3 linked regions of the Saccharomyces cerevisiae S288C genome follow. Changing the gene in region 3 together with the main gene of any one other region gives a genetic interaction. Each region holds a gene or a part of one and is shown on either strand. Other genes may lie near its edges.

Region 1 (3,218 bases), on a different chromosome or scaffold from region 3:
TAAAATGTGTCGCTAATGGAGTACTTAGAGACATTTTTGGAAATCAGTTTTGTGAAATATTAGAAAGAATTCCTTTTGTTTATTTGCTCAGAGTACAACATCTCAAGACTTTTATTCCTGTTGCAAACCAATGTTCACGTACGGTGACCCAAAATGATGGCAGTCATAATCAAATCTAATGGAAGTTGAAATCAAGAAACGATAATGTAATAGGATTGTAAATTACAACTTACAAAGCAAAAGAAGTAATAATAATATGCTATTTAGAATTGCCGATTCTCTTTTATTGATTCCTGTATCTTTTGAGGAGAACTTCTAGTATATGTCTAATGTCGTTTTACTAGAAATGGGACCCCTGAAAATCGTCAGCAACTTTCAACTGAATCTGAGAATGATGCTCAAGTCGTCATTTTATCTTGCAGAAGCTAAGTGCAGGAGTTGATAATACAGCAGAATTAAAAGTGACAACGCAAGAAACAAAAACAAATGCAATCTCAATATTATGTGAAATTGATGATTTCGTAGCGAATCATGCGCACTGTGGGAGAAGCCTGGGTATAATTATGTATGCTAATACTGTTACGTTTATCTGAGGTTTGTGTGAATTTTGTGATAATTATCGGGATTCCATTGTTGATAGAGGCTTCAATACTATGTATACAGAACATACTAGAACTTCTCCTCAAGGGTATAGGGATCCTCAAATTTAATCGGTATTTGCATACAATAATATTACGATTATTTTTCCTATCGTTTTATATGCTTCATTTTCCCATTACATTATCAATTCTTGCATTTCAGCTTCCATTAAACTTGCTAACTCTTTCTCAAGCTTCATTTCATCTTCCTAGATCTCATATGATACTATACCAGCAGCAAGAATGCTACTAAATGGATGATATTCTAGAGTTTCATTTCATCATCTACACGAAGGGATGGGGGCATCTGAAGTATTTGAAACGTTGCTATGATTTCATAATTTATGCAGGTTTAACACAGATTACAGGTCTCTTGGCCCAGTTGGTTAAGGCACCGTGCTAATAACGCGGGGATCAGCGGTTCGATCCCGCTAGAGACCAATTTTTTTGAAAATCGTAAAAAGGCCCAAAAGGGAGAGCACAGCACGTTCTGCTTAAAAAAATAAAAAATGATGTCTTCAATAAAACATCTTAAGGACCAGTTTGTAGATCTGCGAAGTTGTTGACTAGATAAATTATAATAGCAAACAAACAAATAGGACAATGTCAGCGGAGAACATTAGTACTGGCTCGCCGACGGGCAAGCAGCCATCCTCTGAAGTTAATCTTGGCGAAAGAGAAGCTGGAACAAAAAATGAGAGGATGATGCGCCAAACCAAACTTCTGAAGGATACATTAGACTTGTTGTGGAATAAAACCTTAGAGCAGCAAGAGGTGTGTGAGCAACTAAAGCAAGAAAATGATTATCTAGAAGATTACATTGGCAATTTGATGAGATCCAGTAATGTGTTGGAAAAATAACTTTTCAACGTAGGTTTCTGTTTTAAATAGGTAGATCAGTCAAACGGATGCGTCGCATAAATGGCTGATAAATTTTTCCACTACTCGTTTTCTCTTTTTCTGAGTTTCTATATTTTGCGCCTGTTTTACAAAGAAACCAGTATGGTTTGATCCCATGGGCGATGCCACAAAGAAGCTATAGAGAAAAAATGTTAAAATATTCGAAAAAGCTTCGAAAGATTTTATTGCGGTCACTCATGATCATAAAAAAAACCCTTCTCGCATTTGTAACATTGTATTTTAGTTTCTACTTCTTGTAGCAGGCCCTGAAGTATAGATTCTCAGACACAGTGACAAAATGGATGTCGATGAGAGGTTGCATCAAGATGAAAATCAAACCCACCCTTTTTCGCAAAAGAAGTCAAGCAGTTTCTTGATAAAGGAAAAAGCTGCTACAAAATCCAAGGATCTTGAACATATAAGGCTTCGTGACCTAAATTTCAATCATAGAAAAAAGCTAGATGACAAAAAATTGGCAAAGCAAATCCCAGTTAAGGCAAATTTCAAGAAGCCTAACGAAATTGAAGCTCGCGCTAACCTAAATTCAAATGAATTAACAGATATCAACCTTGACTATATACCGGATTCCCCATCTATAGAGAAAATATCAGGGCCTGAGGATTCTATTGTTGTAACGCCAAGAAATATCATACATTTACAATCTGATTCAGATATTATTCTCGAGGAATGCGAGCATAATTATGACTGTAGCCCTTTTTACCGTCTGTTCAACTACGAAAATAGAATTGAGCCCGATGACTACGAGGCTATTATAAACGCTATAATAACTGACGAAATTGCTGGCACATATCCGGTTTTCGAACGGGAATTAGAGTACCAAGAACTGAAAAGTCTTGTCAGAAAGCGAGATTATATTATGTATTATTTCTTGTCAAGGGATTATCGGGGGTTTTTTCAGTTGAAAGAGGAACGTACTTTATTTTATAGGTACCCTTCAATTGCGTACACTAGCCCGTTGAGGTATCTGGATAATGGATCTGAAACCGAGCAGTTTACCGGGGATGATGATGAGGAGCTCCAATCATTTGATTTTGAAAACACATCATCTGTGAGGACTTTAGATAGTAATATATGGCGTTAGGTAATGCTCAATTTTATATACGCATATGCACCATAGTAATTTAATATTTTTTTTCCGAATTACAACAATTATATTATAATATTCCTTTCTTTTGGAGCTGCTAAAACAAAGAATCATAACAAGATATTAATAATATTAGTAACACAAAGTAAAAGAAAAGTTTAATAAAGGAGCAATGTCATCTTCATTAAAAAAGTATACAAAAACTAGTCACTTGAATCGGTAATACCTTTTTCACCAATTACGTAGACACATTCTTTTTCAGGCATATCTGGGGAATCTTGTAACTTGGCAACTCTTTCGTCACCACGCCCTTTTCTCAACAAAATCCTTGTTGCTGACGCATGTGCCAGAACGTGCCCTCCAATTGGTTTCCTACCATCTGCCGAGGCAAATAATGCAGAAGCACCTGGGTCTGATTGAACTTGGTTTGTCAGAAATACTGCAACATTAAATTCCTCTGCCAATCTATTCAATTTGAAAAGATGTTGATTTAGCTTTTGCTGTCTTTCGCTTAGTTCACCTCTACCGCAGTAGTCTACTCTGAAGTTTGCCATTATAGAATCTACCACGATAAG
Region 2 (3,979 bases), on a different chromosome or scaffold from region 3:
TTAGCTGGTTGTCTCTGTGTTCACGACTATTTGATGCCGTACTTTCCAGATTGGTCTTTTCGTAACTATAATCGTTGTGCTCGCTGTGCGGGCTGCCGCTGCTTTCATCGCAGTGCATCATAACATGATTGTTCGGTAGTGAATTGTCAGAGCAATTACTCCTCAAAGACCCTACATTCGATTGTGAACCTTGGGCTTGCATGTTTATCGCTTTCTGACTTCGGTCCTAGCATAGACGTTAACAAGTTAGAAAGATGTGAATACATATGCCTTCAACCCTGTTTTCTTTTAAGGATACAAGGACACAGCTATTACAACAAATTTTGTTGGTTTCTATCTTATCTAATCGATAATCTTTTAATATTTTAATCTAATCGCAGTTATCCAAAACTGGAATGAGATGGTTCAAATCCCCAAAGGTAGATGGAGTTACTGCTGAGGCGTGGAAAAACCCGAGTTTTTCCGAAGCCGCATATGAGAAATTGAGCAGGAATAATAGATATTTACGAAGAGGTAAAAGTGATAAAAGGCAGCGCCGTGGCAATATCTATTTACAATGACTCATTCTGACTATTTAAAAGTATGTAAGGGCTTTATCTAGGCTTTGTGCCGTTCAGGCTTTTTGTATACACATGTGATAATTGTATTACAGCTTGTAAGTAATTCAATGAACGTTTCTACACCGGCTAAACAAGAATCCATTTTGCTCCATGGCTCCAAGTTTCCATCCTTTACTGTGTTCACCGGTTCTGAATTTGGAGAAAACTTGGCCATTGGAAACGATTTTTCGTTTATAGCGCCTGCTATCAGGCTATTGATCTCATAATAGTTGTACCCATATGCATTCTTAAACGCCACTTCTGATGGGAGAATAACTGCTGATAAAACAGCATTGATGCCTACCTTAGTCATGAAATTGGGTTCATTTGCTTTCAGTTCATTCAAACCTGGAATTGCCTTCAGTAGGGAGATGCCGTAACCTGGGATGAAACCTTTGGCCAGCCCATGACATAGGACGTTATTTAAGCAATTATCTATTGCATTTCTTCTTCTGTCGATTTCGATTTCGTTATGTCCACCAATGCTTAAAGTGACCGTATTTTGGAGGAAGGATTTCGGAACTTTATTTGGAATCGCTTCAGCATCAATGGAGTTATATAAGAATGCCTCCCCTGTGGTCGCTTTTATGGATTCGATACTGCCGTAATATTTATCCGCACACATTTTGCTTGGCACTAAAGGACTATATTCTGGTGAGTAGATGCTGTCATATCCGCAAGGCAACCGTAAGAACTTTATAAAATCAAGATTCTCCTGTGGCGCTAAGTCATTGTTCGCCTTTTTAGAGTACTTCAAAACCACTATTCGGCTTTCATTATTTTCTCTCTTGTTTCTGTTATTGTTAATTGTAACGGATGTTAATGCATCACCTGTGCAATCTCCGTTAACGATTAAGAGAACAGATTTTCTCAACTTTCTTGCATACGTTATCGTGGGTAGAATTTTATTAGCGTCTCGTAACGTCCCATCATACATAAGAACTAGCATATCTTTATCAATGGAAACTAATTTCTTAGTAGGCAACTCCAGGGACCTTAAATAGGCTTCATTACTATCTAAAATACCAGCTGGATATTTCCAACCCTTGGATACATCAACCTCATCGTAAGTTTTGTTGCCGTTTATGACCCGCACAATGTCATCCGAAAACAATTCATAATTAATGGCTTTCAAAACCCTTTTGATGCTTTGGCTGTCTGAGGAGGACATAGTCAATTGCTCGACCAGAGCATCAACATCGTTTTGACTTTTCACTATAATCTTGTTCTTCGCAAGAAAATCTCTGATATATCGTAATCCGGCCTTGATCCCATTGGTCACTTCTTTTTCGGGATACTTGAAATAGTGCTCCAGTAAAGAGCATGTCAAAGATGTTGAAGTTGCTGTTAAGTTGTCCTGAATGCAATCCATGAATAATTGTAGACCAACCCTCCCCAGCTTTCGAGGCCTGTTTGATTGAAGTCGTGTGTTGGTAGCTTCATCTACTTGTAGGGAATCTAGTAACTCACGCATTACATTGTGAAGTCTCATGGTATCATGAGAACTAACGACCTGTGGCTTGGATTTATACTTAGGTTCATATATCAATGTTTTATTGTAGGAGGATGAAGTTATTATTTTTTCCAACAGCTTAATACCAGAGAGCGTATCTCTGAGAACCTGAAGGTTTTTTGTTCTATAGATTGGGGTGTGTAACGTTTTTACCGAACATTTCGTTTGATGATTTCCCAATTTCCTCAAACAATTCCTCAGCATACTCGTTAAAGCATAAGAGAGTTTTATGTTTACAGTAGTGTGGGAGAAAATAACGCCAGGTTAAAGCTCGTAAAAGGTAAACTATCGCACTATCGAAACTTTTGTTTCACAGGGAATGGAAGAAAGGGCCTTTATTTTTTACATTTTTTTAAGCCATAACGGATTTTAGTTACCGAGATTTTCAATCCTATAAGAATTACCTAAACTATTAAAAGCGGACCCATCTAAAACATAACGTTCGGCAAGTAGATGTATTGTTCCAAAAAGGCAATACATCCATACAACGGTGCCACCGATCTGTAATGAATGCTCCGTAATGTTTGGGGGATTCATTAAATTTACTGCTGGAACCGAGAGAGAAACACGACAGAGCAATTCATATAAATGAATAAATGAAAACTCGGTCGTATTGCCCTTAAACGTTTATAGGACCAGGTTGGCTACTTCCTCATCTCAATTTTGTGATAGGGGAGGTCTGCGTAAGGAATCAATTCGGATACCTTGGTAGTACTTTTAGGGGCACATTTTTTATTTCTACTTCTTGTATTATTAGGTATCACTGAGATCTATCTCTAATGATGCCTTCACTCCCACAGATAGCGGAAGACATTAATGCACTTCAAATCAAAACTTCTTCAACTAAAGCTACTCTTTTCGAACGCAGAAGATATAATTTCATTCCTAGAGACTTTCTACGAACCTAAAGTAGCAAATTTAAAAAAATAAAGAGTTTGATCCAACCGAGGTTCGAACTCGGGATCTTCGCCGTGTAAAGGCGACGTCTTGAACCACTGGACCATTGGACCCGGAACTCGATACTATGTCATTTTTGGATATCGGTTAGTTGTATACATTGGATATCTCATCTAAAAGCATTACGCATGCCCTATAACTGGTAAATTCAATGAATGTTTTGTAAGTTGAGGGGATGCTAATTCCCTACGAAGTATTTCTATATTATGTGCAACTACATCAAGAAGATAATATTAAAGTTGTTGGAATAAGAATCTGTTGGAATGGAAATCAACTATCGTCCATCAACTATAGTTATACTACTGGTATTATCATATACGATGTTAGATGATGACATAAGCTATGAAAAAACTGCCATTGAAGTTAAAGGAAGCTGAAATGCAAAGATTGATAATGTAATATGATAATGAAACATTTAAAACGGAATGAGGAATAATCGTAATATTATTATGTAGAAGTATCGATTCCATTCGAGGATTCCTATATCCTCGAGGAGAACTTCTAGTATATTCTGCATACATAATATTATAGCCTTAATCAATAAAAACCCCAAGAATTACCTCAAAATTCACCAATATCTCAAAATCAACCTTCATCTGTCTACCAGTAGTCATATTATTATATGTTATCATATACAGTGTAAAAAAGATGATATAAAGATTGAAAAACAGTCATCAGATGTTTGGGAAGCTGAAATAAAATATAGTAGGACAATGGGTGACAATATATAAAATGGAGAAAGAAATAGTAGCCTTATTACGTAAAAGTATCAATCTCTTTTGTAAATTTTTGTATCCTGGGGAAGAACCTTTATCATATTCTCTATTCCTAATGTTATAACCTTAACAACAACGAAATCCCAAAAATTATGACAAAATCCACCAATATATCAAAATTCACATAAAGAAAG
Region 3 (3,420 bases):
TCCTACGCTAAGAATTTTTTTGAGGATAGTACCAAACCTTGTGCTGAATCAGCACACGCCATGCCCACCATCAATTGTGCAAGAAAAAAGTAAACGAGTAGTATACTAACTATATATGTGATTTACATCACGATATGTCAATTATAGGCCCCAAAGTGGTATCCTTCCGAAGACGTTGCTGCCCCAAAGAAAACCAGAAAGGCTGTTCGCCCACAAAAGTTGCGTGCCTCTCTAGTTCCAGGCACTGTTTTGATCTTGCTAGCTGGCCGTTTCAGAGGTAAGAGAGTTGTCTACTTGAAACATCTAGAAGACAACACTCTATTGGTCACTGGTCCATTCAAGGTCAATGGTGTTCCATTGAGAAGAGTCAACGCTCGTTATGTCATTGCTACCTCTACCAAAGTCTCCGTGGAAGGTGTCAACGTTGAAAAATTCAACGTTGAATACTTTGCCAAGGAAAAATTGACCAAGAAGGAAAAGAAGGAAGCTAACTTGTTCCCAGAACAACAAACTAAGGAAATCAAGACTGAACGTGTTGAAGATCAAAAGGTTGTTGACAAGGCTTTGTTGGCTGAAATCAAGAAGACCCCATTGTTGAAGCAATATTTGTCCGCTTCTTTCTCTTTGAAGAACGGTGACAAGCCACACCTATTGAAATTCTAAATTGAACTGAAAAAATTATAAATGATTTAAAATAGAATTTCAAAACAAGGAGAATTGATAGAGAATGCGTTGATCTGAAAATACTGTTTGACAATAACGGAAAGGTAAGTGGATATGTAATCTAAGTTTAATCCTCTTCTAATTCATTTTTCCTATCAACATTATCTGTGCTTTTCTATATCCTTCTTTTTGTATCTATAATTTTTTTTTTCTCTTACATAGCAAAATACAAAAAATCATAAATATTAATATCTAAGGGTTCAAGATCAGGTCATCGCCGTTCTGGGCCACTAGGCTATATCTATTCATTTACATTGGAAGCTGCATGGTCTACTCCAACCGCACTGAGGCAAAGTCTCTGTGGAGGAAATGCTGTCCTAGCGAGCCATTGCAATAGGTATAATCAGAGTCGTCCTCCCAATGTGTTAACTTCTCTCAAAACCACCATATAAATTCTGTAACCTGCCAGCGATAATGTTATATATGTAAAAGGTAAACATACAACCCAATTTGTCCATACTAAGTGGATGCTGGGGAAGCAACTACAGTGCAGATGCTAAAGTTTGCTGCGGCAAATAATCTCAACATTTTTGTGATTAAACCTGCCTCAGTGGGGTGTATGATTAGTGCGTTGATATTTAATACACGCGTAAAAGTTAAGTCTGTTGTACGTTTTATTTCGAGTGACGAAAGAACTACGAATAACTTCCTGCATACTGTTGCCTTTTTCTGTATTTACGTATACTTTTATATCAAATAGCTTGGCCAAAAGAAAGTAGCATTGTGTATCAAGTCATAATTCTAATTCTTAGTTTAACTTCAGCAAAAATAATATTCTTCGTCAGACATTCTCATACAATCATTAACCCATATGAACGTTAAATTTCTCAATTTCTTGCCTTCGATGCCCTATGTATATTTTTATCTCAAACCCGAGGCAGTGAAAATTTTAGCTGGTGCATCGAAAAGAGAAGGGCATTGAAAATTTTACAGTGTTAAAAGAAGTGCTTTTCATGTTAGAATGATAAGAAAAAAGAAAAAGACAACAAAATATACGTCTCTACCATGTCTGATATGCTTCCATTGGCTACGTATAGCCTGAATGTTGAACCATACTCCCCAACCCCAGCTCTGAACTTCAAAATTCCGGTTACCATTAGAATCACAATGGCGGCCATCGACCCTGAGCCCTTTGACGATGACAAAAAGCCATCTACTTTAAGAATAATCAAAAGGAATCCTGAACTCACTCGCGGTGAGTACTACAACCAAGATAACAATGACGGCCTCGAAGAGGATGAAAGTGAAAGTGAACAAGAAGCAGATGTACCAAAAAGGAGTGTCAAATCAAAAAAAGGTAAGGCAGTCGAGCAAAGTGAATCAGAAGACTCTGAAGATGAAAACGAAATCGACGATGAATTCGAAGAATGCGTTCTTTTAACCTTATCTCCAAAAGGCCAATATCAACAAGCTTTGGATATTACCATTGCACCAGAGGAAGACGTTCAATTCGTCGTTACCGGTTCATACACTATCTCTCTAACCGGTAACTACGTCAAACATCCATTCGACAATTCTTCAGATTCAGACGAAGATGAAGAAGACTATTACAGTGACGAAGAATCTTCCAATGGAGAAGAAGAAGAAGAAGAAGAAGAAGAGGACGATGAGGAACTAAGTTCCGGTGATGACGATCTTGATGATTTAGTAGATGCTAGTGACATCGAAAGTCGTCTTGATGAATTAGTCAAAAAGGACGAAAAGAAGAAAAACAACAAGAAGGACAGTAAAAGGAAACATGAGGAAGATGAGGAAGAAAGTGCTAAACCTGCCGAGAAAAAACAAACGACCAAGAAAGACAAGAAAGCAGAGAAAGTTAAAGACTCGGAAGAGAGCAAACCAAAGCCAAAGACGAAGCTACTGGAAGGCGGTATTATCATTGAAGACCGCGTCACAGGAAAAGGCCCACATGCCAAAAAGGGTACCAGAGTTGGAATGAGATATGTTGGTAAGTTGAAGAACGGGAAAGTTTTTGACAAGAATACAAAGGGTAAGCCTTTTGTTTTTAAGTTGGGCCAAGGCGAAGTAATTAAAGGATGGGACATCGGTGTTGCTGGTATGGCGGTCGGTGGTGAGCGTAGAATTGTCATTCCTGCTCCATATGCCTACGGTAAACAAGCTTTGCCCGGTATTCCTGCTAACTCTGAATTGACATTTGATGTTAAATTGGTCTCCATGAAATAGGGTCCTTAATGCATACGTATTGATATATGTATCTATAATACTATATACAATTATCTATACTTCCATTACTAATATTATCTTTCAATTTTACATGTTTTTTTCTGCCATAAAAAAGCAATATTTTTTTGCGAGCTATTTAGTGATATAGCCGCCCAGCTACTTGTCGATGCATATATTGGCTGAGAGTACTAATACAATTATCGGAAGACCTCAAAGTAAAATATAGAAGCTTTGAGTAAAAGGAGCTCGAGTTTTAAAAATGACTTCGTAATATGTAAAGTTTATGTCATATATACTTACACGATAAATAGACCATTGATCGTTAGAGACGAGCGCATTGTTTTGTTGAATCCCTTTCAACAGCGCGACAAAAGTTAATCGAGAACAATAAGATGTTGCATTCAAGGGTTAGTCAAACATATCAGAAGGCCGTTTTCTAAATCACCTCAAGAACCTACCACACAGATACATCTTGAAGAGGTGGAGTACCAAAGGGAATATTTTGTACGAGCA

The links.
Region 1: mutations in FPR4 (region 3) and ISC10 together harm fitness more than expected from each alone (negative genetic interaction), as found in Saccharomyces cerevisiae (2 studies listed by BioGRID).
Region 2: mutations in FPR4 (region 3) and TCM62 together harm fitness more than expected from each alone (negative genetic interaction), as found in Saccharomyces cerevisiae (2 studies listed by BioGRID).

The regions. Positions count from the first base shown.
Region 1 is NC_001137.3:549,146-552,363, reverse strand, and holds ISC10 (Isc10p), read left to right. Parts: upstream 1-1,836; coding exon 1,837-2,640; downstream 2,641-3,218. Other genes in the region: YER181C (uncharacterized protein), read left to right, coding at 568-891; SLO1 (Slo1p), read left to right, coding at 1,242-1,499; recombinase DMC1, read right to left, coding at 2,847-3,218. UniProt on the Saccharomyces cerevisiae protein: Indispensable for spore formation.
Region 2 is NC_001134.8:323,744-327,722, forward strand, and holds TCM62 (Tcm62p), read right to left. Parts: upstream 2,317-3,979; coding exon 598-2,316; downstream 1-597. Other genes in the region: QDR3 (Qdr3p), read right to left, coding at 1-202. UniProt on the Saccharomyces cerevisiae protein: Chaperone. Required for the assembly of succinate dehydrogenase subunits. Ensures mitochondrial gene expression at elevated temperatures and prevents heat-aggregation of the ribosomal subunit VAR1.
Region 3 is NC_001144.5:1,029,106-1,032,525, forward strand, and holds FPR4 (peptidylprolyl isomerase FPR4), read left to right. Parts: upstream 1-1,728; coding exon 1,729-2,907; downstream 2,908-3,420. Other genes in the region: 60S ribosomal protein eL6 RPL6B, read left to right, coding at 148-663. UniProt on the Saccharomyces cerevisiae protein: PPIase that acts as a histone chaperone. Histone proline isomerase that increases the rate of cis-trans isomerization at 'Pro-17' (H3P16), 'Pro-31' (H3P30) and 'Pro-39 (H3P38) on the histone H3 N-terminal tail.